Arabidopsis thaliana: one gene and its partners. The protein of the gene in region 3 interacts with the protein of the main gene of each other region in a pairwise test. Each region holds a gene or a part of one and is shown on either strand. Other genes may lie near its edges.

Region 1 (10,480 bases), on a different chromosome or scaffold from region 3:
ACCTCTGCGTACACATCCTTTGGATTGGAGATGAGAGTTGAGTTATCGATTCTTGCGTAAAGCGAAACGTATCCAGTAGCGCCATCTTGTTTGTTTGCCTGGCTGCTCTATTCCGACCATTTATATGTGAATTTTTGTTATTTTTTGCCTAAGTGATTGAATAAAGCAACAATTATATATATATATATATATATATAAAAGATTTTCTTTGATGAAGATCATGGTTTGCTTTCCTTAATTAGCCAGCAGGTTTGATCCACGTTTGCCGACTAATTTTCTTCTTCCGTGACTGACATCTAACATCTATGGTGGATCCTCCTTGTTTAGTTGTAATTCGAGATGGGTTTTGTTTGTATAGATCCAACACGTCGTCAATATAGAAAATTACACCTGAAGAAACATTAAACTTAAATATCAAAGAGTATTTTTTTGTAACATAACAACTAGTTTTAAGTTCTCATTACGTATATAACTAAAAGATGTGCATGGAACAAATAAGATTTAAATGTAAATTTTTTTGCAGTCTAAACTTAAATTTAACAATTCTTATGTTGATCATCTTCAAATTAAAATGTTTTTCTTGTTTTGAAGTTCTGAAAAATTGATTAATTATTAACATTTTATGAAAAATAGTTGATGAGGTGATATTGTATATCTAGGATTATATATAAATAAATCTAGTCATCATTAGTAATTCTCTAATTTATTTGGCACAAAATTTACAAAAACGTTCAGGTGGCACTCTCTAGTTGGCGAAATGCTTAATTACTTTGGTAATATATATATGATACGTAAATGTATTTTGTAGTGAGTGTATTATATGTCCACGTACACAAAATTAAGTGACATTGTTGAAAAGGCTATCTTTTATAAAGGAAATGATCATGAATTTGAATGGCATATATACCAAGATATATGGAACTCTATTATCATATCTGCTAGGTGAAATGAGCAAACGAAAATCTACCAATTTGAATAAACTCATATCTCTAGTCATTCTACCAAAACAAAGTATAAAAAGCTCCACCATCATTAACATATTACAAAAAAAAAACTAAACAATTTTTTGGGTTTTTTAATTTAATTATAGAAAAAATGGAATCTAAGACGATGAAGATTATAATTTTTCTTATGGTTTTTGTTTTTGCAATGACTTGGTCTCCTTCGAGTGCTCAACCAACGGATCCGGAGGGGTGTTTTAAGGCGTTTAAAAGCACATCAAGAGGATGTCTCGAAAGCATAAAAGGAATTTTACATGGACATGTCCATGGGATCAAGAAAGAATGTTGTGAAACCGTTAGTATAGTTTCTGATATGTGTTGGCCAATAATTTTCCCAAGCATGCCTTACATTCGTTTTGTATTAAAGGGTATTTGTACTATTAAATACTCTTTGCATTGAGGCATTTGAGGATTCGTTATGTTTAATAAGTGAGAATAAAAGACCATCTATGATAATAAAATATGAACAATTCTTACATTCACCTCTTCTCTAATAACCAATTAAAAGTTGACATGTCATCTATTTAAAATAACAAATAAAATAAATCATTAATAATTCAAAACTGAATTAATTGTAAAGCCCACTAAGTCTCTTCCTAAATCCAAACTAACGAAAATAAAACTAAACCCTAATTCTCACTTTATAAGGCATTAACTCTAACCTTATTTATAGTTTTTCTCTATTCTTCTTCCCACACATACAAAAAAGATTAGTTTTATCGGAGGAAGGATATCATTATCATTGTTTCCACACAATTTGAATATAAGTCAAAATACTTATTTATATGTGCATCAAAATTTCTTAGTTTTTTTTTTTATTTTGGTGATTTTGTTGTACTAAAGTTCAAATAATGGCATCTGTGGAAAGAAAATACTAAGGATAAATAAGGTAAATATTAATTTAATTAATTTATTTAAATTCTAAAAAGGAAAATACATTATTAATTAAGAAAATGACCAATCAAAATAAACATATAAGATTTTGATATCTAACTTAGCATATTAATTTATTATTAATCATATATTTTTCTTTTCATCTTTACATGATTCTATTTTTGTGAAACAAATAAATCTTCATATAAAGAAAAGCTAGATTTTTTTCTGCATATGTCATTATTTGAATTTTGAAAAACGAATCGAAATTGTTCAATCTATGATAGAAAACTTGTAATGGGTCAAAAATTCAGACTTGAGTAATATATTTGTTTTAAACAAAAATAAATTTAACAAAAACTCCGACTGAGTAACGAGTTATAATTTGAATATTTTATATACTGCAATAAACTTTTTAATAATTTACTTTAGAACATTTAAAGATAGTCTTACTTTACTTGATATTTTTAAATAATATCATTATTAAAACGTTTCTTAGGACTTCTTACTACACGTTGGTCCTTGATCTTTGACATTGGTGACGGCTCCTTTCTCTCTCCAATCCAAGGAATCTGGTGCTTGAGTCATATTCTCGTAGAAGAACGGTTTGGAGTCGAGTATTTTCTTGTGATCACTCATATCAAAACATGTGTGAGCGTTGACAAACTCGACGTCGGTCAAGTTTGCAAACTTGTTGAGCTTGAGCTTGTACGGTTTTCTCTCCTTGTTGGTTTTGACAATATATTCTGCATTTTTTTTAAATACATCGAAACTACTTTCTGTTTGGTGGATGGGCACAAGATAGTGGCCCATCCACCTCTTGTACAACTTTTCCAGACCCTCATCACTTTTTAGCTTTGTCTCATTGTATTTGTTCCATGAGCTTTTAGCTCTAGAATGAGAAGAGTAAACATAAGAATAATTAAGATATGCTTAGTCATTTTGTTTGATTTCTTCTTTTTGATTGTTTTTAGTGCGAGAGTTAAGTAGACAAACGAACACATTCATATATACTTGGTGGATCAAACTTTTTTCTTAATTGCACTGAATGTGTGCATGTGATCGTTAACACAAAAATAGACAATTATATAGTTAATGCTTTAACCTTAAATTAGTTTTTGTCTCAACGAAATTATTAGCCTATCATCTTTTTACGTACCAGTTAAGTCCAAAGAGGTATGAGAAATGAGATGAACATGCGATCATTAACTGTTTCGATGTATTTGAAGATTTTTATGATGAAACAATGTTTTCTCGTCTTTGAAAGCAATATCTTCAAAGTCTTACGCGGCAATTCAAATAAGTCTGTTATTACTTTGTTGCATCGAATCATGTGATCGTTAGTTTAAAGGATTATCACTAGGTTCACTACTTTATCATTTTCTTCATTGTAGTTTATATGACATTTAATTTTCTGTCAATTAATATGATTGAATAAAACCATTTTAATCTGTTTCTTCTAATTTTTATGAGAATCATAAATTCTTTCTTTTTAGACAGTTACTATTATTAAGAAAGAAAAAAACATGTTCTAGGGGGATGGAGATTAGACATAAATATTTTGACCTTAACGAAGTCTTTGTAAATAAATATTATACAATCAGTAATTATCTTTTAAAGGCATATTGTCTATTTATTTTATGTCTAGCTTGTATATTGCTTTGTGGTTCTATAGATTATGTGTGCAGGGATGATCTTTTTCAATTTTCATTGAGGAACTTATTGCTCACACCTTCTTTTATAGATTTAAAAGACGATTAGGAGCATAGTGAGATTTATATGGTGCCTTAGGAGGAATTTTAAAGTCATTCATTTGATAATGGTTTTCAGTTATTAGTATGACCCAAAGAAATGTTCCGTTTCAACCAAATGTCACTTAATTAGGAGGTTTAGGCCAATACCAATTAATGTCGTTGATGTTTCTTACAAAATTGTAAGTTTCTTGTTGACTTTTTGAACATGCACAAAAATGATTAAAATTGTGAAGATCCACTCTGTATTAAATGTTTAAAATTACATCGAAAAATGTGAAAAGGGCCCATCTTTTATACTATTTGGCAAAGTTTTGATTAATCATAAGGTTGTAGCTTTGAACGTTTATTTGTGAAAATAAAACGAAACAAAGAAACTATATCAACCAGTAATTATCTTTTTTTCTTTTTAATATGATCAGTAATTATCTTTTAATTTCATCACACGAAAAACTTAATAATGTTTGATAAAAATCTCACAAACAACAAAGAACGGAACTTTTATTCGATCGAATCATTTTCATTATTGCCATCACACGTTCACAAGACAACAAAGAACAACTCTCCAAGTTACACACACACATACACATTTGACATTTCATTCACTACTCTCACACGATCCAAGAGAGAGTCTTCCGGATCTCAGACCCGACCCGACCGACACTTTCCCTAAGCGAAACTGGACAGTTATTCCGAACAGCACTGAGCTCATACGGCGATGTATCGGACGCAAGCCATTGCTCAACATCAAAGCTTTGGTACGAGCACTTTGCATGAACTCCGGCTGTCGTGACTTCCACGTAGTTAACATACCAACCGTGGTGGTCACCGGAGCCGTCAGAGGTCAGATTTAATGAACAGACTGGGCTCGGAAGACATGGTGCTTTCCCACTGAAAATGTCGAGATTACCCCTCTCGTAGTAGTTGTAACCTGGTCCCATTAAACCACCCCATGCTTCTAGGTTTCGGATCCCGATGTAGTCTCCGTATTTGTCGTAGACTCTAGCGCTTATGATCGAATCTGTACCGGCTTTGAAGGTTGATCCGGTTCTAAGGAAGAATGTGTAGACACAATCTGCTTCATCGTCCTGTGAAATCAAGAAAGTCATTTTTTTAAATGGGAAGAAACAGAAGTTTGTAGTCTAATAGTTTAAACTAATGTCATTGATGTTGTGTCATTATATACATATTCAAATCTGGTTAATGTGTGTGTCTAGTTCTAGACAAAATCATATATGAGAGGAAGCAAGTCAGATTTGGAAAACTTACGGCTAATGCGACAGCGGAGACGGTGGCGATGACGAGGAGGAGTGAGAGGAAGAGGACGTCACGGCGAGGCATCATCGGTGATATGGATGTATAAGAAAGAGAGATCTAGTCTATGGAAATATTAATAGAAATGTTGAAAATGCTAAAGTATATGAGAGTTTAGATTTCAATGATTTAATTATCGTCTGTTTTGGGAGTTGCGTATGAAGATGACGTGGTCGTTTTTGGTCCGTTGGAATGAGTAAGAAATAAGAATAAAAATACTTAAGGATCCTATAAGCACGTCGTTAACTCGGCGGACAGGTCGGCATGGGTTGTCAGATTTCGAAAAAAATTGCATATTTTTTTTTGTCACAAACGCAAATCTTCGTGAGATACAATACAAATGCACTTCATTTTTCGCCAATTAGAATGTAATGTAACAGTTTCCAGTGTAATGCTCGCAACATAACATGTTTCACGTGGATTGGGGCCGGGGAAGAATTAGAGAAACATTAATTTTTGTTTTTGCTTTTTGAAAGAAAACTTTCGACCATATGAAGGTAAGATTTCCTTTAATTTCCTTGATATTTTCATGTACATATGTTTGATTTATAAATGAAAATTAAGTGATTGTGTGTTTTTCAAAGAAAGAAAAATGAAATAAATTTTGGATAGTATTGTCAGCGAAGCAGCAACAAGGCCCACAAACATAATTTTGAATGGCCGGTTGCTGCGGATTAATGTGTGTAAATACATACATTCCGTTCATGTCAATCCCAACGTATATTCGTATATATGCATTTTTCGCTTTCTAAAGAAACAGAAGTTGCAAGAGAATTGAAATAAAAAACACTTTAATGAAAATTTGGTCCAGAAATACCACCCAAAAATGGTTTTAGTTCGAAACGTACAAAATAAAATAAGACTCGTTCATGATAAACATTACCAATATGTGCTAACCTTTTTAAGATTTTACTCATGTATGTCTTATATGCATATATAATTTATGTTAGAAAATCGATATCTTGTAAACAAAAAGTAACAACTTCGTTGATCATCATCAAATGCCATAATACTATATTATATGAGTTCTGTAATATAGTTTTCTAAATAACAGAAAAAGGGAAATTTAAGGTGAGCTGGCTAACTCTAAATAGCAAAATCTTCTCAAAACCAACCAAAAGTTTGAGTCATGCAACAACAACCACTTACTTTTCCCATGCAAACCCTAATTTTCGCATCCTCTCTTAATTCTCTCTCTTTCGTCTTCTCTGTAGACCAATCTCCACCACACATCTCGTAACTCCCACCTTTCTCCGATGGAGGGGCCACGGCGTCCTCCTTCCGCCACCGCCCCTGACTCTGACGATGACAAACCCGATGATCCTCCGTCCGTTTGGCACCGTCCAACCTCTAGCCTCCCCGCATTGCCATCTTTAGATCCTCCATCGCACGGTTCACACCATTGGCGTAATCATTCTCTTAATCTGTCTCCACTCCCAACGACATCTTCTCCGCCTCTTCCTCCTCCGGATTCAATCCCTGAGTTAGAGACGTACGTTGTCCAAGTCCCGAGAGATCAAGTCTATTGGACCCCTCCTCCGGAACATGCAAAATACGTCGAGAAACGCAGCAAGAACCCGGAGAAAAACAAAAAGAAAGGGTGTTCTAAACGTCTTTTGTGGTTCTTCATTATCTTGGTCATTTTCGGATTCTTACTCGGTGCAATCATTCTCATCCTCCATTTCGCTTTCAACCCCACTCTTCCTGTTTTCGCGGTCGAGAGATTGACCGTAAATCCTAGTAATTTTGAGGTCACATTAAGAGCCGAGAATCCAACGTCTAACATGGGAGTACGCTACATGATGGAAAAGAACGGGGTCGTTTCCTTAACGTACAAGAATAAGAGCCTGGGGAGCGGGAAATTTCCGGGGTTGTCCCAGGCCGCATCTGGATCCGACAAGGTCAATGTGAAGCTTAATGGGTCGACCAAGAACGCAGTTGTACAACCTCGTGGATCGAAGCAACCGGTTGTTCTGATGCTGAATATGGAGCTGAAGGCTGAGTATGAAGCAGGGCCGGTCAAACGGAACAAGGAAGTGGTGGTGACTTGTGATGTTAAGGTTAAGGGACTATTAGATGCGAAGAAGGTTGAGATTGTGTCGGAGAATTGTGAGAGTGAGTTCAAGAACTGACACTCGCTCTATATATATTTTATATATAACATGATTGTGTCGTTAGAGTTAACAATGTGCTTAATTAATTCATACTTTCTATGTAATGTTCAATTGTTCATTTTTTTTCCCTAATGTCTTTGTTTTTACTCTATATTGTTGAGCGACAAAAGAAAACGTGAACAAGAAGAACACAATAGAGTGAGCGTCTTTTTTTTTTTTTAAATGTACCTTTGCTTTTACAAATAAATTTAGTTTAGCCCAGATTACAAATAAACAGACTAGTCAGAACTTCTTAAAAACAGAAGATATAATTGGGCCTAAATGCAAAAGTAACATTTCACCTCCTAAGATTTTTCCTAGACCAAGTGTGTACAAGCAATACTCCGAAAACTTGATGGGATCATTCCCTCTTTTTTTTTTCTTTTTTTTTTTATCATTCTCTTTTTGATAAGATCATTCTCATTTCTCAGTGTTGTTAGTTTTATTATAGAAATGTAACTTACATTTTGGGAATAAGTGCCGTCTGTACATTTCTATTAGTTTAACTTTCTCTTTTTCTGTTGGAATGTAAAATTTAGCTTCAACAAAGATATTTATATTTTAATTAATAGAGAATTTCAAAAGTTTGAAAGAAAAGATAGACTTTTAAAAGAATGAAGATTGAAAAGAAACAAATAGACTTTTAGAAGAATGGAAGTTGAAAAGAAACAATCTTGATCAGTACTTCTTCCTTCGAGCCAACATCTAATGAGGTCGTGAAGACAAGTCATATTAAAATATAGGTGCGAGGAGACCCGATCTGTTATTTTGTCGATCACTAGAGCTGACGGTTTACTGTTTCGTACGGTAAAAATTGAATATAGTCATTACACTATCGCTCACAACAAACATAAGAGATAGAAGCTGAGAATTTTGATAGTGCCATTGACGAGGTGGGGTTGCATATGCATCCAATCAGGAGTGAGATGCGAGCTTAGTAGAGGACCACCAACTTAAGGCCACGTTTTGAAGGAGAAAGGACTCATAAAAATATATGATCTTTGGCTTCGTCGAATTCGCCATAGTCCATAGAGGTACTTGTCTGCGAATGCAACTACCCGTTTAGAGGCGAATGTGTTAATAAACGGAAATGCTTTGCGAGAATCTGGCCTCACCATCTTATTGTTCAATAAGTGGAATGTATTAATAAGAAAATACAAATTATGAAAGTTTATACAAAAATATTTTTATATTTCACCGCAGATTTCAAAATGCAATGTTCTTTTTTTTTTGTGCGCTAGTTATTTTAAATATACTTGATTATTTTAAAAAATCGAATATACATAAAGAATCATTTATTCTATACCCCTACCATCTACCAAGAAAAGGTTGAGTGGTCATTTTCGCGAAACCACAGTGGAGAAACAATAATTGTGTATAAAGATATTCCACTAGAAAGTGAAACAAATAGGTCCAATTATTTATTAAGGGCACCTTTGGACCATTTTCACAGTCCTAATTATGACAACAATATTGTTATCTTCTAGCAAGAATATAAAAAGACAAATTTTATAGTTTATTATAAAATGAATTCTTCATTTCGGGTAAAGGTTGGATATATAAAATTGTATAGAAACCAGTAATAATAGTTAGGATATCAAAGAACTATTTGATGTATGATGTTTTGCAAGACACTATATTCATTTATTCTATTTTTTTTTGTGAGCGTACCAAACAAATCAAATTAAATACTATTTTATGTATGATGTTTTGCAAGAGACTATATCATTCTAAACTAACTAGCTAATATTGAATTTCACACATTTTGGGATGAGCGCAGTATCCAACTCTATTTAATGCTTTAAAATTTAAACATTTGCAATCTTGATGTAAAATACAAACATTCTTTTATCATATAATTCCACATGGTCGGTTGGTTGGAACGCACGCCTAGGCCTCACTCTTATTTGTGTTTCTCTCTTTTCCTTCACACCACTACATTCGAAAGTTCCGATACAAAAGAAAATTTCCTTTTTTGTTACTTTAAATTTTGGTGTCTAAAAAAGTTGACTATCCAATCAAAAGACATTTAGAGTTTGCCAAAAGATTTTTGTTTTTAGTCCACCTTTTAGACATGTCACAGAAAATTATTATTCAAGTGAAGGGATTGGTGATCAATGTTTTTGCTCCCTATAATTTGGGCATCTAAGTCACATGCATCCCCATGTTACCAAGTAGTTTGGAACATCTCACAGATCAACATATACATTCATTTACTGAGTCAATACATTTAAAATTACATATAGTTTTAGGCTTTCTATGGCACTAGATAATTGAGTCAAATCAAGTTTTGTTAGAACCGTCTGATTTACTTGAATCTTCTCTCTCTATATATATAAACAAATATAGAAAAATAAAGAACGGAAGAGACATTAGACCATCCTTATTGCAAGTCTCTTACTATAAATCTTAGGTATAATATATAATCAAAATAATATGTGAATAGTTTAGAAAAAGTCCTTAGCTAAGAGATAAAAGAAGGTTTAAGAACTTCAAACCATTACAAAAACTCTTAGCTATAATTTTTTCAATAATACAATTCATAAAATAGTTAAGAGATAAAATTAAGAGTCTACCATTAAGGTTGCTCTTAGGTGATTGGTTTCTCATTGAATACATTAAGGATCCTTCCATTTGATGTTATTGACAAGTTCACCATGGCCAAGCAGAACAAAGAGAACAACAGCACTCAAGTTACATTGTTAATTATTGATGTCAGTGAATGGAGACGATGGTGATAGCAAGACCTACGAGGCATATGTGTACCAGCCGCCCTGGCGTGATACTCCCTTGGTTCTTAACTATTTTGAATTTGCCAATTAGTCAATGTTGGCTCTCCCAATTCCCTTAATCAATTGTACAAAAATACATTATTTCTCAATTCATTTTTAAGTGATTATTTATTTTTAAATATTTTAGCGGATATAGGATGATGAACACACACTTTATATTAATTAAGTAATATATATTTGGTTTTTCTAAATTAAAATCATAGTATATGCAGAAAAAGTTATTAAGTTTTTGTATGCAGTAACATCGCATTTTAAGGTATATTTTTAAATCTTTATTAAAATCTTTCAAAATTAATAAGAATCAAATCCACAAATTGTTTTCAATAAGAGTACATTTTAAAGTAGATTTTTAAATTATTAGTTCGATAACACTGAATTTCGTTTGATTTTTTAAAATCTATGATTGAATAACATATGATTTATAAATTTTTACATCTATATATACATTTTTGCAGCCATTTTGTGAAATAAATCTTGTAGTTGAGACTTATTTACAATGGCTGCCACTGGATTTTAATGTTTGTTTTTGATAATTAGAAAAAAATCTTTGAATTAAATATGTGACATTTAACAATCTTCCTTAAATCTCTCCACAT
Region 2 (10,209 bases), on a different chromosome or scaffold from region 3:
TTCTATGTAAAGGCCACTCTTCGAAGATGTTCATACCTTACATGGACCCGAGTGGTGATTGGAATTTCATTACCTACCTTGATTGAAGCTGTGATTAGTCTGCATGTCCCCTTAGATTATTTAGCAAGTGCAGTTTTTAATGGATGGAAAATTTATTATAGGTCAAGAGCAATGTGGGATATAGGTTTTGACCCTTATGCATAATTCGGCCCAAACAAAGATTGGCTGAGTTAACATGCTACTTACACAGGAATTTGGCCCAACTTAACAACACTCGTGTCCAGCGGAAAAACAGTTTGACCCACAATCTTGGTTCGGTCCGAAGAGAAGGGCAAAAAGTAACCATGTAAAAGGAGACAAAATGAACCCTATGTTAAGCTCATAGCCTATATATAAGTAGCCAAAAATATTATTTGTAACAATATCAGACCATAAGTACCGAAAGAATTAAAGAGAGAATTGCTGCCTAGCCTAGACTATAGTTTTTTTTTTTTTTTCCGGTACTGCATGTTGTTTTGCTGATCGGTAGATTTTTTTTTTTTACTCTTTTCGGTTATTCAATTCCAACTTAAACCAGATCCCATTGAACAAACACAAGAGTAAACCGAAATCTCCAAAAAGGGATTATAACCCGGAATTGCACAAGAGGAAAAATATGGAATCACTATACTGTACATTTAACCTCCTCGGCTCTGGTCAACAAAATGAACCATATACCGGCCCAGTAGATTCGGCCCACACAGATACATGTTTTCATTTACTCCAAAGTTCAAAGGCAACCCGCACCAATACATATGTATTGATGCATTGTGCATGTATAATATCCCAAATTTTACTCCAAAGCAACATACATTTTGTCAAACATAAATCACTTCTATTATATTTGCATCAATAGAGCAAGACTTATAGTTTAGTAATTTGTATAGCAACGTCGTTTAGACACACGGAAATATCGAACTGGTAGCAAGAGAAGATATCATTTGAGATTTCGTAGATTATGTGTTAGGTAGGTAGGGTAAGACATAAGTCAAAGAACTACCATATCATATTATATGTGTAAGTTCGTGTAGTGAATTATGGCCCAAGTGAATTATTACATATAGCTATGCTTGTCCAGAGAAAATTAAAACAGTATATAACATGGGTCTACATGTCCAAAGAAAATTATTACTGTATATAATATGGCTCTTTTCTCCATAACAAACTATTACAGATTAAACTATATCACCATACGTTATATCCCTCTGATACTAATAGTTTGATGTTTTGTGGTTTTCACACATATTAAGAATTCAATCATTGTTTAATCAATTTAACTTTGTTTTTCATGTTAAATATTTTTAGTAATTATCAACCAGTAGTTGTGTAAGAAAGTTCATGATTTCTAATAATTGTATCTTGAAGTTTACAATTTACAAATATAAATCAATAAAAATAAAGAAAAATAGAAGAAAATCAATCTTTGTAGAACAAAGGAAATATAAATATTAGTTTCCTAATTATTCTTTTCGTCGAATGGTTTAATAGAGGTCGCTTCTTTGATTTCTACTTAAACGTCTATTTCTCACGTGCAAAAAGAATATATATTAATTTAATACCATCAAGGCATTTTTTTGCCTATAAAAATTTGAAGTTAAACATAAACCAAATCCATTAAAGCAAACAATAATACCTCACAAAGAACAATATGGCTCCACTTCACTTCACCATTCTCATCCTTTTCTCTTTCGTTATCGTAGTCTCATCCTCAAGCTTTACTCCACCGCGTCACCCATTTGATCCCTTAACCGAGACCGAACTCAAACTCGTCCGAACCATCATCAACAAGTCGTACCCCGTTGGTCCGAATCATAAGTTCACTTTCCAATACGTTGGTCTCAACGAACCCAACAAGTCTCTAGTCTTGTCTTGGTACTCATCACCGAATCATACCATCAAACCACCACCACGCCAAGCGTTCGTCATTGCTCGAGACAACGGAAAGACCAGAGAGATAGTCCTTGACTTTTCCTCTCGTGCCATCGTCTCGGACAAAATTCACGTAGGAAATGGTTACCCTATGCTCTCAAACGACGAGCAAGAAGCATCCACCGAGCTTGTTGTCAAGTTCAAGCCGTTTATTGACTCGGTCGCGAAACGTGGCTTAAACGTTTCGGAGATCGTGTTCACGACGTCAACGATTGGATGGTACGGTGAGACTAAGGCCGAGGCGGAGCGAGTTATTAGATTGATGCCGTTTTATCTTGACGGCACCGTTAATATGTATCTTAGACCTATTGAAGGAATGACGATAATCGTTAATCTTGATGAGATGAAGGTATCGGAGTTTAAGGACAGGTCAGTGGTTACTATGCCCATAGCTAACGGAACGGAGTACCGTATCTCGAAGCTTAACCCACCCTTTGGACCGACGCTTCATAACGCCGTCCTTTTGCAGCCGGATGGTCCGGGCTTCAAGGTCGATGGACACATCGTGAGGTAAATGATTAACAAACCCAAAAAATGACTAATATTTATGGCTATATCTCTTCCTTTGGCTCCATACGAATTATAGATCAGATTTTGCAGACAACATGCTATGCATGCTATATATGGAAATTATATTTTTAAAGTTTATCAGTGGCAAATAGCCAAATGGCATTTTTTCCTTTGGCTCCTTACGCATTATAGATCAGATTTTGCAGACAGCAATTATGCATGCTATATATAGAAATTATATTTTAAAAGTTTGTCAGTGCAAATGGCCGAATAGTAGTAACAGTGGTTTGTGTCTTTGTGAGGTAAAATGATTAACAATTATAGGTTGCTAAAGTAATGATTTGCTATGGATTTCTTATTGAATCATGAATCAAGGTTTAACATGCTTATATAGAGAGAGATAGAACTAAAGAATTGGAAAAGATAATGATAATGGAAACTAAACATATCTCTCATATTATGAGAATATTCTAAACCGCCGAATATAGGTCTCTCTGTCTCTCTATTTTCTATTAGCTCCATACGCCTGATATATGTAGATCAAATTTTGCTAAATCTGATAATTAAATCTATAAACTGTGTCGGTGTAAATAGTTCTCAAAACCTGATATATTTTCTTTTTTGCTGTTTTACGAAAATATTCTCTCAAGTGAAAGAAATCTCAAAAGTCGTCCTCACCAACCCACTTTTATTCAGCCTATACATTTCTTGAGTTTAGTCTATCCAGGACACATATGGGATGGATATCTTAAATTTCAAGAATTAGGAGAAACAATTACCTGGATCTGGATTAATTAATTTAATATACTCTCAACTTTTGAAATAAAGTTTATGTTTGGTGATAGTTTAAAGTATCACTGTACTTATAACTAGATAAGGCCCGCCTATTTAGGCGGGTGTATCCGAAATTTTCAAATATTCGAATGGGTCTAAACTTGAAAACCCGAAAAACTCGAACCCGAACCCGAATAGGTATCCAAACATATCTCAAATATAAGTATAAGTATAACTAATATATACTTATACATAGAAAATATTAGGATTTTTTTGATATTTTAGTTATTTTTGTGTATTTTTAGATATATTCGAGCAAAACTACTCGTGTTGTTTTGGGAGTTTTTGAAATTTTCAAGTAATTTAATAGATTTGCACACACAATTTGATATTTCAATATATAAATAAACTCGAACCCGAACCCAAACCGAACCCGACCCGAAATCTTAAATTACCCGAACGGATCCTAAACTTCTAAACTCGAAAACCCAAACCCGAAATACCCGACCCGAATACCCAAACGCCTAGGGCTAATAATTAATAGAAAAACAGAAATCCACAAAAATATTTAGAAACCAAACATTGTTGAAAATATATTTCTATATATGCCGTAATCTTGTAAGTTAATTTTAACATCATGCAAATATTAAATGAGTTAAAATTAATAAATGAAAATAATTGAAAAGTTAAATCCTATAAGCTAAGCTATTTTTCTCAAAATGTTCTATTTTCACTTATGATTACATGAGTTAAAGACAAATTTGTTATTTTCCTTTTATTGAATAAATGTTAATTGTTTATAAATATATAGACATATAAATTAGTATATGTAAATTTGTTTACTTTTTAAGATTTTCTATTCTTTTTAGAAAATAAAAAAGTTAAATTTTAAATGACACATGTAAACATCTGATCGTTTGACTTGACACATGGCACGATCCTATGAGTTAGCAAATTTGAAAACCATACTTTATATAATAAGATAACTCTTAAACATATAGTTTTTCTAAAATATATAATTAAAATTAAATCCGAACTAAATCTAGATATCTTAATCTTAAAATTAAATTATCCAGATTTGAAACTCCACCTACCATAAATATTTTAAAAACTAAATCTCAAATCTTGTTTTGCCTACCCCTAATATCAGTAGTGTTTACTAGTAAGCAAAAGCAAAGCCACCAATATTGCTTCACCAACAAAATTTTAACCCAGTTTGCCACTATTATTATAAGTAATCTACTAGTCTCTCATTTTTCATGTGTATGCTTATTCCGTTAATCCTTCATCTTTAAAAATACAAAAACAGAACAACTGTTGGTTTGCTTTTGCTACTTTCATTATAACCATCATATTCTTGAAGTTCGGTGTGTCGAGGACCCATGCACAATAAGTCTGTCCCAGTCTTTTCTATTTTGAAATATATATGTATCATATGTGTGGTTCTAATATTTTCGTGGATACAAAATATTATTCCTCAGATCCCTACACAGATACTTTAGGTTTCAAAATTTGGCATCATATTCTTGTTTATTCATTTATTCACACTCAAAGGTTTTCGTAATACTTTCACGGTTTTATAATATAAGACTTATTTTATCACTAAAATTAATTAAACAGACACTATTTCAATCTATGATGGGTATGGGGTCCTATTTTTGTATTTTCCAATAATGGCATTTTAACGTTTTATAAAAAATCTTATCTTTGGAATCGTTTTGTCTCGGTAAAATCTACAATGCGTTCATTGTATATATATTGCTAAAGAAACATGCATGCAAATTAATACCTATTATATCTGAATTTTTGGAAAGTAAACATGTATATACCACTTACTAATTTCATACATATGGTGATGAGTAGGTGGGCAAATTGGGAATTTCACATATCGTTCGATGTTCGAGCTGGCATCGTCATATCTCTCGCATCCCTTTTCGACACGGACGTGAACAAATACCGGCAAGTCCTATATAAAGGTCACTTATCGGAAATGTTCATACCTTACATGGACCCAAGTGATGATTGGTATTTCATTACTTATCTTGATTGTGGCGATTTTGGCTGCGGTCAATGCGCCGTATCTCTTCAACCGTACACTGATTGTCCAGCGGGTGCAGTTTTTATGGATGGTATTTTTGCTGGTCAAGATGGAACTCCCGCAAAAATCCCAAAAGTTATGTGCATTTTTGAAAAATATGCTGGAGATATCATGTGGCGACATACAGAAGCTGAAATTCCAAACTTAGAAGTAAGAAAACATATAGTTGTTGTTATGTTATGACTTATGAACAATCACTTATATAAAATACATGATTTGTATTTGCATATATAATGATGCAGATTACGGAGGTTAGACCGGACGTAAGTCTTGTAGCCCGGATTGTGACGACCGTGGGAAACTATGACTACATAGTTGATTATGAGTTCAAGCCTAGTGGTTCCATCAAAATGGGGGTAAAACCGTCTCTTTTCAACTTTGTCTTTAATATAGTATATACATTTTCATTTTTAATAATATGATATAAGCAGCAACATGAATCACGTGAAATCGTGAATCATGAATCATGATTAAACGATGACAAAAAGAATTCAGATTAATGATAAGGACTAATGACAGAAAATCAAATCTTGGTTGGACAACCATATTCTCAACTTTGCTTTGTTAATTAGATATTGGTCTGGCCATTTGAATCATTCAATTTGATTTGGCTGTTTCATATATATATATATTTTTTTTTTTGGGTTCATTCGATGTTAAATTATCTAAACCAACTAGAATCAAATTTGGTTTGGCTCGGTTTTGATAAATTTCGGTTGGTTTGATTTATATATTTTTTTAAAAATCAAATTACATACAATTTTGAATAAAGTTAAATTATGTTTTAGTGTATATTTTTACTAAAGTTGGTTTATTCGATTCGGTTTTCGTTTGTTTTATATAGATGAGAAGAAATTATCAATATTGATAAAAAGATAAATTATTGTCAATTTAGTTTTTGTTCGATCGGTTCTAAATCTAATGATACCAATTTAATATGTGCAGGTCGGCTTAACCGGTGTTTTAGAAGTGAAACCGGTAGAATATATTCACACATCCGAAATCAAACTAGGGGAAGACATACACGGGACAATTGTCGCCGACAACACCGTCGGTGTTAACCACGACCATTTCGTGACATTCCGTCTTCATCTTGACATCGACGGTACCGAAAATTCCTTTGTTCGTAACGAACTTGTGACCACGAGGTCTCCAAAATCTGTTAACACACCGAGAAAAACCTATTGGACAACGAAGCCAAAGACGGCCAAGACCGAGGCAGAGGCTCGGGTGAAACTAGGTTTGAAGGCGGAGGAGTTAGTTGTGGTTAACCCTAACCGAAAGACGAAGCATGGCAATGAGGTTGGATACCGTTTACTTCATGGATCCGCTGCAGGCCCACTCCTGGCCCAAGATGATTTCCCGCAGATTCGAGCTGCATTCACCAACTATAACGTGTGGATCACGCCGTATAACAGGTCAGAGGTTTGGGCAGGTGGTTTGTACGCTGACAGGAGCCAAGGCGACGATACGTTGGCAGTGTGGTCTCAAAGGTACTTTATATTTCTGATAAAATTTGACTATATTTCGTCCGTTGCATGATTAGAATAATTAATCGTATTATCAATGCTATAAGTTGGAGATTTGTAGAATTAACATATAAGTATATGACAGGAATAGAAAAATAGAGAAGGAAGATATAGTGATGTGGTACACCGTCGGTTTCCACCATGTTCCTAGCCAGGAAGATTACCCGACGATGCCTACTTTATCCGGTGGCTTTGAGCTCCGACCGACCAACTTTTTCGAGCGAAACCCTGTCCTCAAGACCAAACCCGTCAAAGTTACCACCGCTCGAAAGTGCACTCCTAAAAACGATTAATAAACAGCTTAATCATATCATTGATGAATTTGTTCTACTTGATGATGGACTGTAACGATTCGAGAAATAATGATGTGGTTTTAAATAAGTTGGTTTTGTTTGTATAATCATCATGTCTTTGTTGATCAATTAATTTTTCGTTTTCTCTATTTTCGCGTGATTAAAACTCGAGTGCATTCATAATGTGGTTATAAAAAAACAAGTGAGATTCTAGTTAACGAAATTCAACAACTAAAAGTGAATACTTCCCCCCCCCCCCCCCCCCCCCCCCCACAAATTTCAAGTATGTTTTACATCTATGCATGTTTCAGTTTATAGAGATTCTTGATTTCTAAACTTGAATTTCTATTGTTATGTTCAATTTGTTCATTCTTTTGTTTCTAGTCTCCACTCAAATTTTTCATATTACTACAATTGTTTTTATTATAGAAAAAGAATCGTTACGTGTTGTATTAATTACGGAAAACAAATTAGCATTCATTCTTTTGAGAATACGACATCATAAAGTTTTACCGTTTCGGTGAAAATAAATAATTAATCACTACTTAAAAGAATAAAAATAATTATGCAACAATTTTTCTATTTTCTTCCAAATTAATATGGTGTTAAATGATATGGTTATAATCACAAATAGAGAAAAAGAAAAACAAATACTTGATTAACACAAAAGCAAAGTATAGAACCCAACAACCCAACCATAAGAACAAGGAACAAATCCACTCTTTACAAACATATATACGTAAGCAAACACAAATAGTTATTCTCTGTAATCGTGGAGTAGGTCTCAAGCAATCTCGTCTTCCCTCTAAAGGGATTTAAGAACAAATCAATGGAAATTCAAAAACAAGATAACCGGGATGGGCGACCCAAATCTTTTCTCTTTTTCATGTTCATCTTTCTCTTTGGTCTCGCGGCGTTCTTCCTATGCCTTTCGGCCGAGTTTCAAAAGGCTAAGGTAAATAAATTTTCAAGTGACTTGCTGCTCAAGTTATGCATTTTACGTTCTATAAGATAACATGATTCGGGGTTGAGGCTTTGCTAAGAGCTCAGGTTTTCTTAAAGGGGAAAGATCTGAAATGGGATGGAGAATCGTGTTATTTACCAGAAAATCGTGCTTTCGGGCTAGGAATTGCTGCTTTGGTCTGTGTTTCCGTTGCTCAGATCGTCGGAAACGTTGTGATCTGTAGAGGTTTCACGAAAACGGACAAAACCAGAACGACTATATTTTGTATAATTCTTCTGTTGTTTTCTTGGTAAGAAGAAGATGAGTTTACTAACAAAAAACAAATAAGTTTGAAATAGCTTGTAATTTGGTGATCTATAGTGTTGTCACCGGATTAAATTTGCAAGTACATAATTATATAATACATGAATTTATTGCAGGGTTAATTTTGCCGTTGCGGTTACGTTGATAAGCGTTGGTGCAAGCATGAATAGAGAGCAGATATACGGCAAAGGGTGGCTAAACCGTGAGTGTTACCTTGTGAAAGACGGTGTGTTCGCAGCGTCTGGCTTTCTCTCCGTTACGACGATGGCCGCTATTCTCGGAGCGTTTGCGTTTAAAGTCAAACCATCATTACAGGTCGAGAATCATGACAAACGTCACACTCAAAATGTGTAGTAGTTTGAAAATTAAGTAGAAATTTTATCAAATGGAAATGCATGCAAAATAGCAAAATCTTTACAATCATATGGATATATTCAAGTCAAAGAATCATATAATTAAAAATATATAGAAGACTATATAGATCTGCAATTAGTTCATTATATGCTGTTATTATTATATACAAATACGAACGCAATTTATAATGGCATGATACCGTTTGCATTTAACATTTTAATCCGTATATCAAAGTGTATAATTGCAAATTCTATTTTATCATTTTTTGTTTTGAAAATGATGGGTTTTTTTTAAATAATCAAATAGGTTCTAAAGTTGAAAATCCGCGTTTAGAAATAAACAGCGTTTTCAGTTTTGAGGCCTGCTGAAACGTGTTTGGCGAGGATAGTGAGATGAAGAGAGATTGATGGTGATAGTGTTGCTAGTTGATGGAGATTGTTCATCAAAGTAATTCTCAGAAAACTGATTAAAGGTAAAAACGACGTCACGCCAAACTCTTCGTGTTTAAGAAACAACATCGTTAGTTAGGCCAAATCCATTTCAGCGTAATGTAGAAACATGTTCAAGCTATAAGCAACCTAGCTATAGTACATTAACCAGTTTGTCCATTAAAAAAAGCTATAGTACAACCAGTATATGATAACAAAGCCACAATATTTAATCAAGCAAGTAATGTTTCTTGAGCCATACGCAACCTAGATATAGTACACCCAGTCATTCATTATGCATTTCAGCGATTTGGTTTGCTCACACGATACATTCAATAATTATTGTCATTCATTATGCATTGGTGATTAATTACCCGAAAGTTGATGAGAGAAAATGAGCAAAGGAACCTTAAACATACCGAGATCGAACCAACTATTAGAGATAAGTATTTCACAAAATAAAATGATTCTACGATAAAACTTGCCAAACTACATGATATTTACCCGTAGATGGATCAAACGAGAGTTTTGTTTTCTTTTTTCTTTTGTTAACATGCCAAAATTCGATCGGGTCTAAAGTTTTCATGTACATTCCCGAAATGGACCACAAAAGAGTGCAAAAATGTTAATGAGCCCAAACTATTGGTCTCCATATAATGTCTTGATAATGTCAAGAGTCACCTAAAATAACACATACATAAGAGTCATGCAATGAAAAAGTCTATGCATTTGCAGAGAGACTTATCAAATCAAGCAGTTTAAATATTCTTTGAATCTATAAAGCAACCTAATTCAACAATTTGAATCACCATTTCACACTGAACTAGTAGCTAAAACTAAAAAAACCAAGAACAATCAGTGATGCAAAAAGAGAACATATACAATAAATGGATTCAAGCTTTTAAGTAACTATTAAAGATCACTTTAATGGATTGGTAGGTTGTAAAATTACACTATCTATACAATACAATACATACAAGAATTCATG
Region 3 (12,318 bases):
AAAGCGATATGGATGCACCTAGTAATTTCGCTTGTTTGATAATTATCTCCAAATGACGGATCCACAAGCTCTGATGGCGACCCATTGCTCCATAGTCTCCAAGTCTGTTCAACATTTTAATAACTTAGGCTTTGGTCATTGTTTGAATAAAGCAAAAAAACATTAGAAGTTTTAAAGCTTTATATACTCACATATGTAACCAAGTTGCTAATGCTACCATCCATTTGATCGAGGCTACTGTTCTTCATGCCGCTTACAATCTCAAGAACCAAGACCCCAAAACTATACACATCTGATTTCATGGAGAACTTGCCGTACATAGCATACTCGGGAGCCATATAACCACTGCCACAATACTAAAAATGTTGAGTCCATAGAAGCATAGTACAGTCTATAGAGAGGCAATACATTTTAAGAGAAAAACTTACTAGGTTCCCACAACTCTTCTCGTATTGGCTTCTGTTTGGTCCATCCCAAAAATCCTCGCCATTCCAAAATCTGCAACTTTTGGGTTCATATCAGCGTCCAAGAGGATGTTGCCCGCTTTGAGGTCCCGGTGTATAATTGTGAGTCGTGAATCTTGATGAAGATAAAGAATTCCTCTAGCAATTCCTCCAATGATCTTGTACCGTCTTGACCAGTCTAGCTGCCCTTGCATCGTAGGGTCTGCACATGCGTTTTTAAAATGTTAAAAACAAAGAATGGCATGCAATTTGAAGAATCTTAGGCTAAGTATCGAATTTAACAGACCAAAAAGAAAGTAATCGAGGCTTTTGTTTGGTACAAACTCGTAGACAAGTATCTTTTCTTCTCCTTCCAAACAATAACCAAGCAGTTTTACTAAATTTCTATGTTGGAGCTTTGCAACAACAACAACTTCGTTTTCAAACTCTTTTTCACCTTGTCCTGAATTCTTCGATAGTCTCTTCACCGCAACTTGTACTCCACTAGGAAATGTACCCTACACGAGTAATTTATTTTAGATAACCATAAGTATGAGATTAATCATACAAATGAAGAAGTACTCAAATGCAATTATGTAAAAATTTAGAAATGAATAATAATAATTATTAATTAAGGACTAGAGTTTGTTTTGTTCCGCAACTCTTTAAAATTGGATTTGAAAACAGGGGAAAAACAGAGTACTTTGGAAACAGGGGAAAAACATGTTAGAACGTTTCCAACATTCAAAACTCACTACTTTATCTTAGTGTATATTATTCAATTTCTACTTGTAGATAAATAGCTACAGTAATAGCCTTGTGCAATAATAATACCTTGTAAACTTCGCCGAAACCACCTTGACCAAGCTTGTTAATCGGCAAAAAGATATCCGTTGCTGCCACAATTGCCTTAAAATCAAACTGAAGTGAGCCTGCAGTCGTAATATCATCCCCATCTGTAGCTACAACTTAAACAGTTTAATTCATTATAAGAAGAATACATCAGAGACTATTCATTATAAGAGTATTCTACTTTCAGCAGGTGGTTCCGTGACTTCCGTCTCTTTTCTCTTTACTTTAAACAACGGTATCGCTCCAATCGTCTTTTTTCTCTTAGCGCGGCGGACACTAAAAAAAGCTACGAATAGAAGAAAAAGGACAGTGATTGGAACAACAACAGCAATAACTATGACAGAGGAGTTTCCGCCTTTTCCTGTATCATAATAACAACTTTGTGTTAGCAAAATTCTTATATGAAAGTTGTGTTGAAAATATGTAGTCAAAGGAAAGCGACTGTTCAGACCAGGTCGTGGTGATGAATCTTGAGGTGTACCAACGTTGAATTCGTTGTAAAACTCGTAATTATCGTATCTTGACGTACAGCTCGGCAAAAAAGTTCTTCCCCCAATTTTGTCATAGGTTACTTGATTGATGCTTTGTTGTAGGCAGTCTAAGCAGTCTTGTTCCGTAAGGTCAGGAGTGCACTGAACCATTCCGTACAAACTCTGTAATGCATTTAAATCAAATTTTGTCACAGCGAATCTTTTGATACTCCTCGCGGCTTCAATGGCAGCTAAGTTCATGGGGTTCAAGACCAAATCTCTGAACCGATCTTGTTTGACTGATATAGGATTCCTAGCGTTCTGCATGAACACTCCTCCATCGGTGTTTAGAGTGGATAGTATATTCCGGTTAGAGTATCTGAGCATACACTGCTCGTAATAGAACACGGCTTCTCTCTCATTTGGACACCGACTTAACGATTCGTTAACAGACAAGGCGATGCAGCTACGGCAAACTTCAGGTGAGACGTTTCCGCGGCAGAGGAAAAGTCCGGTGACCATGTCGGGGGCTTGTCCCGCAGTGGCGTTTTGGAATCCGGTGGAGTAAGAGGCGTTACGAGAAGAGAGAGAGGACAAAAGGGTTTTGAGATTGGTGGAGTAAGTGCTGTTACTTGAGTAAGTTGTCGTGATAGAACAATTATGATATAGGTAAAAAGGATTTTGAGCAGAAGCTGTGAAGCTAGTGATGAATGAGAAAAGGAAAAGGAAAATGAAACAGATCAGAGAAGACATGCTTCCTTTTCCTTGATTTGGAGTTTTAGATCATGAATCTCTGTATGTATATTAACGCGAAATTGAGGATGGTTCATACTCTTCTGACGGCTATAAGTCAATCAAAGAAAGTCATGGTAAACGCCGGTTTTATTTAATTTTAGTTTGTAATGTCAAAACAATAGCTAGTTCTTTCAAACAAAGAGAGAAGTTTAAGTTACTATTTATAGCCTTACCAAAAGAAAAGAGTTAACGATTTCTGTATAACGATAAATTATTTGTCAGTAATTTGCTCTTTTTAAAAAAACTTTAATTCCTCGTCAAAACTCATTGATTTACACATTTCCAAGTTTAATTTTCTCTCTTTTTCTCTCTAAATTTGCTAATCCTATATACATATTTTTTTCGTGGAGTTGTCATATTTATCATTTATGAGAGCATGAAAAATCAGCGTGAGGAGAGTACTTCAAAGTTCAAAAATAGTCTTGTCTTTACGTTATAATTGAAGCTTCTCCCAAAGAAATTCTTACAGAACTGAAAAATAGCATTTTAAGTTTACAACATAAAATTTAACTCAATGTGCTTCTTATTTGTGGAGAAAAATCAAATCTAGCTTGATCATTATTGATGTACGAAATCAAACAAGTAACAAACGAGATCTCAAGGGAAGTTTAAAGAATCACTATTTTATAGATGGGTGTAGATCGCTTCTTGGATGAGTAGTTTGAGGACGACCGTCAAGATTCTTAATCGTCCTCCAGTGACTTTTCTAGCTCATATTCCTTGTTCAGTTGTTGTTCTATTGTTGATGCTTTGACCACTGAAATGAATACTTGTTAATTAAAGAATTTATAAAGAAAATAAACAATAAAACCAGTTTAACTTACATGAATTTTTGTTCACTGTCGATCTTAATAGTCTAAAATCATATATCACAAATGTTTAGATTAACGAATAGTTTTGTCTTCAACGAGGAGTTACACGAGTAATGGAAGCTTCGTCGACTGAACAATGCGTAGATGAATCAATAGATGGACCTGCTTGTTCCTGCTTGCTTCGGAAGAAAAATCCAGGTGGTCTAGGCTCAGCGAGAGCGATCAAGCTAGTAGTGAGCATTTGAACTATCGATGACATGGTTGGACGATCTTCAGCATCTTCCTGAACACATAGTAAAGCGATATGGATGCACCTAGTAATTTCGCTTGTTTGATAATTATCTCCAAATGACGGATCTACAAGCTCTGATGGCGACCCATTGCTCCATAGTCTCCAAGTCTATTGAACATTTTAATAATTTAGACTTTGGTCACGTTTTTAAATAAAGCAAAAAGAAATTAGAAGTTTTAAGGCTTTATACTCACATATGTAACCAAGTTGCCAACACTTTCATCCATTTGATAGAGACTACTATTCTTCATGCCGCTTATAATCTCAAGTACTAAGACGCCAAAACTGTACACATCTGATTTCATGGAGAATTGGCCGTACATCGCATACTCGGGAGACATGTATCCACTGCCATAATTCTTATTTTTTTTAGTTGATTGAAACGTATTACGGTCTATTGATGAAAAAAAAGTGGCAAGAGCAATACTTACTAAGTTCCAACTACTCTTCTTGTCATGGCTTCTGTTTGGTCCATCCCAAATATTCTCGCCATTCCAAAATCTGCAATTTTAGGATTCATATCATCATCCAAGAGGATGTTCCCTGCTTTGAGGTCTCGATGTATAATTGTGAGTCGTGAATCTTGATGAAGATAAAGAATTCCTCTAGCAATTCCTCCTATGATCTTGTACCTTCTTGTCCAGTCTAGCTTCATTTTCATCGTAGAGTCTGTACAGCGTATTTCAAATGTTAAGAACAAAGAATGGCATACAATTTGAAGATATCTTGGCTACGTACTAAATTTAACTGACCAAAGAGGAAGTGATCAAGGCTCTTGTTGGGCACAAACTCGTAGACAAGTATTTTTTCTTCTCCTTCCAAACAATAACCAAGCAGCTTTACCAAATTTCTATGTTGGAGCTTTGCAACAACAACAACTTCGTTTTCAAACTCTTTTTCACCTTGTCCTGATGTCTTCGATAGTCTCTTCACCGCAACTTGTAGTCCACTACTCAATGTACCCTACACGAGTAATTTATTTTAAGATAACCATAAGTATATAGGAATTGTCGGTAAGATTAATCATGAAAATGAAGTACTCAAAATGCAAGTATACAAGTAGAAGTTAGTATTTGTTACAAATATAGGATGATAATTAACGACTAGAGTTTCTTTGTTCCGCAACAACCTTTGCAAGTACAAGGTTGCTGCACTCATCCCATACATCTCAACTTTCGAAGTAATGTGTGTGAGATTTGATTTGGAAACAGGGGAAAAACAGAGTACATTGCTCTGTTCAATGGTAATAATACCTTGTAAACTTCGCCGAAACCACCTTGACCTAGCTTGTTAATTGGCAAAAAGCAATTCGTTGCTGCCTCAATTGCCTTAAAATCAAACTGAAGTGATCCTGCAGTCGTAATATCATTCCCATCTGGAAAAGAAAACTTCAACAGCTGAATTAAGTAAGAGCACAACAGACTATTCATTCTATGAGGAGATATGTTTATCACTGGTGTGCTTACCTTCAGCTACTGGTTCCTTCTCATTAAGCGTCCTCTTATTTTTAGCCCTGACACTAAAAACAGCTACTAATAGAAGAAAAAGTACAGTGATTGGAACAACAACTGCAATAATTATGACAGAGGAGTTTCCACCTTTTCCTGTATCAACAACAGCAAGAATTTTTTAAGCAAAATTCTTGTATGAAACTTGTGTTGAAATATGTAGTCAAAGGAAAGGGACTGTTCATACCAGGACGTGGTGATGAATCTTGAGGTGTTCCAACATTAGATTCGTTGTAAAACGCGTAATTATCGTATCTTGAAGCACAGCTCGGCAGAAGAATCCTTCCCCCAATTTTGTCATAGGTTACTTGATTGATGCCTATTTTCAGACAGTCTAAGCAGTCTTGTTCCCTAAGATCAGGAGTGCACCGAACCATTCCGTACAAACTCTGGGATGCATTTAAATCAATTTTTCTCACAGCCCATTTTTTGAAACTCCTGGCGGCTTCAACGGCGGCTAAGTTCATGGGGGTCAAGACCAAATCTCTGAACTGATCTTGTTTGACTGATAGAGGATTCCTAGCGCTCTGCATGAACATTCCTCCATCGGTGTTTAGAGTGGCTACTATATTCCTGTTAGAGTATCTGAGCAGACACTGCTCGTAATAGAACACGCCTTCTTTATCTTTTGGACACCGAGTCAACGTTTCGTTTACGGCAAAGGTGACGCAGCTACGGCAAACTTCCGACGAGACGTCGACGCGGCAGAGGAAAAGTCCGGTGACCCTGTCGGGGGCCTGTCCCGCCGTGGCGGTTTGGAATCCGGTGGAGTAAGAAGAAGCGTTAAGGGAAGAGAGAGAGGACAAAAGGGTTTTGAGATTGGTGGAGTAAGTGCTGTTACTTGAGAAAGTCGTCGTGACTGAACAATTATGATATAGGTAGAAAGTATTTTGAGCAGAAGCTGTGATGGATGAGAAAAGGAAAAGGAAGATGAAAGAGATCAGAGAAGACATGGTTCCTTTTCCTCGATCTGGGTTTCAGATCATGTAGCTCTCAATTTTTGAAACTAGAACTATATTTTTCCCTTTTTTCTATGAGACCAACAAGTCTTAGTAAACGCCGGTTTTATTTTATTTTATTTTGTAATGTCAAACTTGTATCGCGCAAAATAATAACTATTATTAAAAAAAGACAAAGAGAGAGTAGTTACGATTTCTAAATTACAATAAACTATTTGTCAGGAATTAAAGGAAAAAAAACAGCCTAACTTAGTTGGATATGATAAGATATTATTTGTCAGAAAAGAATCTTTTCTCTCTCTCTCTCAATTTTCTAATACAAGATATTATTTTTATATTTTTATTTTTTCGTGGACATCAGAAATTCAGAATTATGATAGCATGAAAAATCAGCGTGAGGAGAGTACCGCAAATATTGTCTTAAATTGTATTTACGCTGTAATTTAAGCTTCTTAAAAAAAAAAAAGTTTTAAACCATTTTCAACTCTATTTTAAAAGAATTGTATTCTAATGATCATCTCCAAAATAAAGTTTTTTCAAAAATAAAGGAAAATATAGAAGTAACCATCGAAGATGTCTTTACGTAACCGAAAAATAGCATTTTACACTTTACATCACAAAATTAAAGTCACTATGCTTCTTATTTGTGGAGAAAACAAATCGAATCTAGCTTGATCATTTTTGCGTGTTTTGAGATGACAATTTTTTCTTTCTGCGTGTTTTGACTTTTTAGATATGAGTCATTAAATGCATTCACATCCTCCAAGCATGTCTACTAGCAGGTCTTTTCCTTGTTCTGTACGTAGATGATGCATCGATCACGGTTTTTAGCTCTCGTTGAAATTGAGGCTAATGATTAACATGTATATTCTTTCATAAGCCCCAAAACCTAATATCAAAGATTGACTCACATAGTCCAAGTCTAGCACAAAAATTTCAAAGTTGTCAATTTCTTATTAATGTGCATGGTTATTCAAATGGAAATTTTAAACTGATGATTAAATTTCTAAGAACCACAAATAGTCAAATACTAACTACACCACCCACACATTATCTCAAGAAAAAAGAAAAATGGCAACGAAGAGTTGTGAATTAGTCCTCTGTTTCTTCGTCTTTTTCGTCATAAGCTTCAGTGCAATTTCTGTTTCTGCACAAACTTGTGACAATACTACTGGGACTTTCATACCCAATAGTCCTTATGATAAGAACCGCCGACTCATCCTCTCTACTCTAGCTTCTAACGTCACGGCTCAGGAGGGCTACTTCATCGGTTCGATTGGGATTGCTCCTGACCAAGTCTTTGCCACCGGGATGTGCGCTCCAGGTTCTGAGCGTGATGTTTGCTCTCTCTGTATCAGGTCCACATCAGAGAGTTTACTACAAAGCTGTCTGGACCAGGCAGATGCTTTCTTCTGGTCAGGTGAAGAAACCCTTTGCCTTGTTCGCTACGCTAACCGCCCCTTCTCTGGATTGCTCGTCATGGATCCACTAGGAGCGATATTCAACACAGGAGAACTCAATACGAATCAGACTGTGTTTGATATCGAGTGGAATAATTTAACTTCTAGTATGATCGCCGGAATAACTTCTTCTTCATCAGGGGGGAACAATTCGTCTAAGTACTACTCAGACGATATAGCTCTTGTGCCGGATTTTAAGAACATATCAGCGTTGATGCAATGCACACCAGACGTTTCGTCAGAGGATTGTAACACTTGCTTACGGCAAAACGTTGTCGACTATGATAATTGTTGCCGTGGGCACCAAGGCGGCGTTATGTCAAGGCCAAACTGCTTTTTCCGATGGGAAGTGTATCCCTTCTCTGGTGCTATTGATCAGATTAATTTACCAAAGTCACCGCCGCCTTCAGTTACATCCCCGTCTCCTATAGCCAACATAACCAAGAATGGAAAGTCCTTGTTGGAACATTTTCAGAAAATTGTCTTGTTTTGTTTCTGTTTGTTTTTTTTTCTTTTTTTGGTTTTTGTGTATTTATGCTTTTGATGAGTTGTGTTTTGTGCAGATAGTAGAATATCAGGAGGAAAAATCGCAGCAATAGTTGTTGTTACTGTTGTTACAATAATATTGGTTGTTTTAGGCTTTGTTATTTCCAATAGAAGAAAGCAAAAGCAAGAAATGGATCTTCCAAGTGAGTTTTCTTTGTTTGTTTGTTAAAACCTTGATTGTTTTCGGTCATGAGACCTTATACTTTGAAGTGGTACTTTTTCACGAGCTTATTTATGGTTTCAAATGAAGCGGAATCTGTTCAATTTGATTTAAAGACAATTGAATCGGCGACAAGCAACTTTTCCGAACGTAACAAGCTTGGTAAAGGTGGATTCGGTGAAGTTTACAAGGTAATATATAGGATCTTTGTTGTCCATCTAGTTTGCTTCTTTTGTGGAGAATAGGCTATGTGCTTAATTTGTTAGTATTTTCAAGGGTATGCTCATGAATGGCACTGAAATTGCGGTGAAGAGATTGTCGAAAACATCAGGACAAGGTGAAGTAGAGTTCAAGAACGAGGTTGTTGTTGTTGCAAAGCTTCAACACATAAATCTTGTTAGACTTCTCGGGTTTTCGCTACAAGGAGAAGAGAAGTTACTCGTCTATGAGTTTGTTTCAAACAAAAGCCTCGATTATTTCCTCTTTGGTATGTAATATTTAACTAAAAACAGTTTCCTCTTTGGTATGTACGTTTTAACTCATACATGTATAAGTATGCAGATCCTACGAAGAGAAATCAGTTGGACTGGACAATGCGACGCAATATCATCGGTGGCATTACTCGAGGGATTTTATATCTTCATCAAGATTCGCGGCTGAAGATCATACATCGTGACCTCAAAGCGAGTAACATTCTCTTAGATGCGGATATGAATCCAAAAATCGCTGATTTCGGAATGGCAAGGATCTTTGGAGTGGACCAAACTGTTGCCAATACAGGAAGAGTGGTTGGAACCTTGTAAGTATCATCTTAAAATGGACTTTGAGATTTTTGATCATTAGTTTAAGAGACCTTTTTTGACTTCCAGTTTATAACCTCTATTTTTCAGTGGTTACATGTCTCCTGAGTATGTGACACATGGCCAATTCTCAATGAAATCAGACGTCTATAGTTTTGGAGTATTGATTCTTGAGATCATTAGTGGCAAAAAGAATAGCAGCTTCTACCAAATGGATGGCTTAGTTAACAATTTAGTCACATATGTGAGTCCCAAACTTTATTTGACTCTCTTAAAAGTTAAAACACTGATCATAGTTCTGAATGTGTATATATTCTACAGGTCTGGAAACTTTGGGAGAACAAATCATTGCATGAGCTCTTAGATCCCTTTATCAACCAAGATTTCACAAGCGAGGAAGTCATTAGATACATTCATATTGGACTGTTATGTGTTCAAGAAAATCCTGCAGATCGACCAACAATGTCTACGATTCACCAAATGCTCACAAACAGCTCAATCACTCTGCCTGTGCCTCTGCCTCCTGGATTTTTCTTTAGGAACGGACCAGGATCGAACCCGGGTCAGTCGAACAGCAAGTCTTTTGCTTGTTCTGTAGATGAAGCAACAATCACGGACGTTAATCCTCGTTGAAAATTCAGCATTTGGTTTTTTCTTGTTTCCACAAACGTCTATCATTTATTTATTGTCCGTTTATGAAAAAGTTTACAAAGGGTCATTTTTTCAGGTTGAAGATTCAAATTTGAAGTTTCTATATTAGTCAAGCATGTCTACAATAGCTCGAGTGCTGACTATTATAATTTATAGTAATTGTAGGACCGATCATTAGTGTTAGTCCTCGTTGAAAGTTAGGCCAATCTAAACCCTTTATCAAAAAAGAAAAATAAGCTTTGGCCAATGTTGACTTTATATTCTTTTATAAGGGTAAAACCGTAATAATAAATATTGACTTAGAGAATCCAACTACGTCTTCCCCTTAAAATCCAAAGTAGTCAATGTCTGGTTAATGAGGATGGGTCATTCCGTCGTTCGAGTAGAAAATTCAGAAGTTATGGGCCATATTAATGATAAGAACCACTAGTAGTAACCAACAACAACACCAGTCACACATTTTTCTAAAGAAACAAAAAGAAAATGGCAAAGACGAGTTGTGAAATAATCCTCTGTTTCTTCTTCTTCATTTTAAGCTTCAGGGTCATTTCTGTTTCTGCACAACAAACTTGTGACAACACTGCTGGTAGTTTCAAACCCAATAGTACTTATGACAACAACCGTCGTCTCCTCCTCTCTACCTTCGCCTCTAACGTCACGGCTCAGAACGGCTACTTCAATGGTTCGTTCGGGCTTGGTACAGACAGAGTCTACGCCATGGGGATGTGCGCTCCAGGTGCTGAACCTGATGTTTGCTCCAACTGTATTAAGAACACAGCAGAGGGTTTACTACAGATCTGTCTAAACCAGACGGACGGTTTCTCATGGTCTGGTGAAGAAACCCTTTGCCTTGTTCGTTACTCTAACAAATCCTTCTCCGGGCTACTTGGCTTGGAGCCGTCTAATGATTTCTTCAATGTAAACGAAATAAGAAAAGAAGACCAGAAGGAATTTGATAGTGTGTTTGATGAGTTAATGTTTCGTACAATCCAAGGAGCATCTTCATCGGTGAGAAACAATTCTAATTCGTTATCATTGTCTGGTAAATATTATGCAAAGGATGTAGCTCCTGAACCGGTTTACGGGAACATATCGGTGGTGATGCAATGCACTCCAGATGTTTCTTCAAAGGATTGTAATCTTTGTCTTGAGAGAAGTCTTGATTTCTATAAGAAATGGTACAATGGGAAGAGAGGCACCATTATATTGCGGCCAAGTTGCTTTTTCCGGTGGGAATTGTATACTTTCTTTGGTGCTTTTGATAGTATTAATGCTAGACACCCACCGCCTCCTCCACGCCCGCTTTCACCGCCCCCTTTAAAGACGCCTTCTGTAACCAACCAAACCAATATTACCAAGAAGAATGGCAAGTCCTTTTTTGGGTAACATTTTAGAGCAAATTTGTCACACTTTTTCGGCTTTGCTTAATTATGTTGTTGGTGCATTGTGTTTTTTGTGCAGATAGTAGAATCTCAGGAGGAACTATCGCGGCGATAGTCGTTGTAGTTGTTGTTACAATAATATTGATTGTTGTAGGCTTGGTTATATGCAAGAGAAGAAAGCAAAAGCAAGAAATTGAACTTCCAAGTGAGTTTTTCTTCATTTGTTTGGTTTCGGTTTTTAGACCTTAAAAATTGAAGTGGAACTTTTTAACGAGCTTAATAGTCGTTTTAAATGAAGCGGAATCTGTTCAGTTTGATTTAAAGACAATTGAAGCAGCAACGGGCAACTTTTCTGAGCATAACAAGCTTGGTGCAGGTGGATTTGGTGAAGTTTACAAGGTATATATATACTCTCTTTGTCTTCCACCTCATTTGCTTCTTTTGTGAAGAATTGGATATATGTGCTTAAAATTTAAAACATTTTCAAGGGTATGCTTTTGAATGGGACTGAAATTGCGGTAAAAAGATTGTCAAAAACATCAGGACAAGGTGAAATAGAGTTCAAGAACGAGGTGGTTGTTGTTGCAAAGCTTCAACACATAAATCTTGTTAGACTTCTCGGGTTTTCGCTCCAAGGAGAAGAGAAGTTACTCGTCTATGAATTTGTTCCAAACAAAAGTCTCGATTATTTCCTTTTTGGTCTGTTTGTTTCTAACTTGAAATATACTTTTTCTAATGTTTCTTGTTTTTGTACATAGCTGATTATGATTAACTGATTATGTATGAACATACAGACCCTAACAAGAGAAATCAGTTGGACTGGACAGTGAGACGCAACATCATCGGTGGGATTACTCGAGGAATTCTATATCTTCATCAAGATTCACGGCTCAAAATCATACATCGTGACCTCAAAGCGAGTAACATTCTCTTAGATGCGGATATGAACCCGAAAATTGCTGATTTCGGAATGGCAAGGATCTTTGGAGTGGACCAAACTGTAGCCAATACCGCAAGAGTAGTTGGAACCTTGTAAGTGTATATATTATATGGACCTAATGAAGTTCAATCAGTAAACCCTTTCACTTCAAATAAACTTGTGTTTTTGCAGTGGTTACATGTCTCCTGAGTATGTGACACATGGCCAATTCTCAATGAAATCAGACGTCTATAGTTTTGGAGTATTGA

The links.
Region 1: the proteins of CRK19 (region 3) and AT2G22180 interact in a protein complementation assay, tested with the Arabidopsis thaliana proteins (one large-scale study listed by BioGRID).
Region 2: the proteins of CRK19 (region 3) and AT1G31720 interact in a protein complementation assay, tested with the Arabidopsis thaliana proteins (one large-scale study listed by BioGRID).

The regions. Positions count from the first base shown.
Region 1 is NC_003071.7:9,422,774-9,433,253, forward strand, and holds AT2G22180 (hydroxyproline-rich glycoprotein family protein), read left to right. Parts: upstream 1-5,969; 5' UTR 5,970-6,195; coding exon 6,196-7,071; 3' UTR 7,072-7,368; downstream 7,369-10,480. Other genes in the region: AT2G22155 (ECA1 gametogenesis family protein), read left to right, coding at 1,096-1,401; AT2G22160 (Cysteine proteinases superfamily protein), read right to left, coding at 2,370-2,687; PLAT2 (Lipase/lipooxygenase, PLAT/LH2 family protein), read right to left, coding at 4,237-4,713, 4,895-4,969.
Region 2 is NC_003070.9:11,348,168-11,358,376, forward strand, and holds AT1G31720 (chitin synthase, putative (DUF1218)), read left to right. Parts: upstream 1-7,934; 5' UTR 7,935-8,001; coding exon 8,002-8,127; intron 8,128-8,204; coding exon 8,205-8,425; intron 8,426-8,555; coding exon 8,556-8,793; 3' UTR 8,794-8,914; downstream 8,915-10,209. Other genes in the region: AT1G31710 (Copper amine oxidase family protein), read left to right, coding at 1,688-2,478, 5,116-5,500, 5,593-5,706, 6,296-6,843, 6,965-7,172. UniProt on the Arabidopsis thaliana protein: Together with MWL2, contributes to secondary cell wall biology, specifically lignin biosynthesis.
Region 3 is NC_003075.7:12,164,940-12,177,257, reverse strand, and holds CRK19 (cysteine-rich RLK (RECEPTOR-like protein kinase) 19), read right to left. Parts: upstream 6,242-12,318; 5' UTR 6,126-6,241; coding exon 5,360-6,125; intron 5,269-5,359; coding exon 5,131-5,268; intron 5,040-5,130; coding exon 4,918-5,039; intron 4,628-4,917; coding exon 4,417-4,627; intron 4,334-4,416; coding exon 4,096-4,333; intron 4,013-4,095; coding exon 3,859-4,012; intron 3,773-3,858; coding exon 3,479-3,772; coding exon of another isoform or gene 3,464-3,478; exon of another isoform or gene 3,318-3,463; coding exon 3,297-3,317; coding exon of another isoform or gene 3,213-3,296; 3' UTR 3,081-3,212; downstream 1-3,080. Other genes in the region: CRK20 (cysteine-rich RLK (RECEPTOR-like protein kinase) 20), read right to left, coding at 1-104, 192-345, 429-666, 751-961, 1,278-1,405, 1,477-1,656, 1,747-2,518; AT4G23271 (uncharacterized protein), read left to right, coding at 3,213-3,314; CRK18 (cysteine-rich RLK (RECEPTOR-like protein kinase) 18), read left to right, coding at 7,203-8,040, 8,155-8,280, 8,388-8,488, 8,574-8,784, 8,859-9,096, 9,188-9,341, 9,419-9,730; EMB1290 (cysteine-rich receptor-like protein kinase 17), read left to right, coding at 10,232-11,114, 11,210-11,335, 11,429-11,529, 11,619-11,829, 11,925-12,162, 12,242-12,318.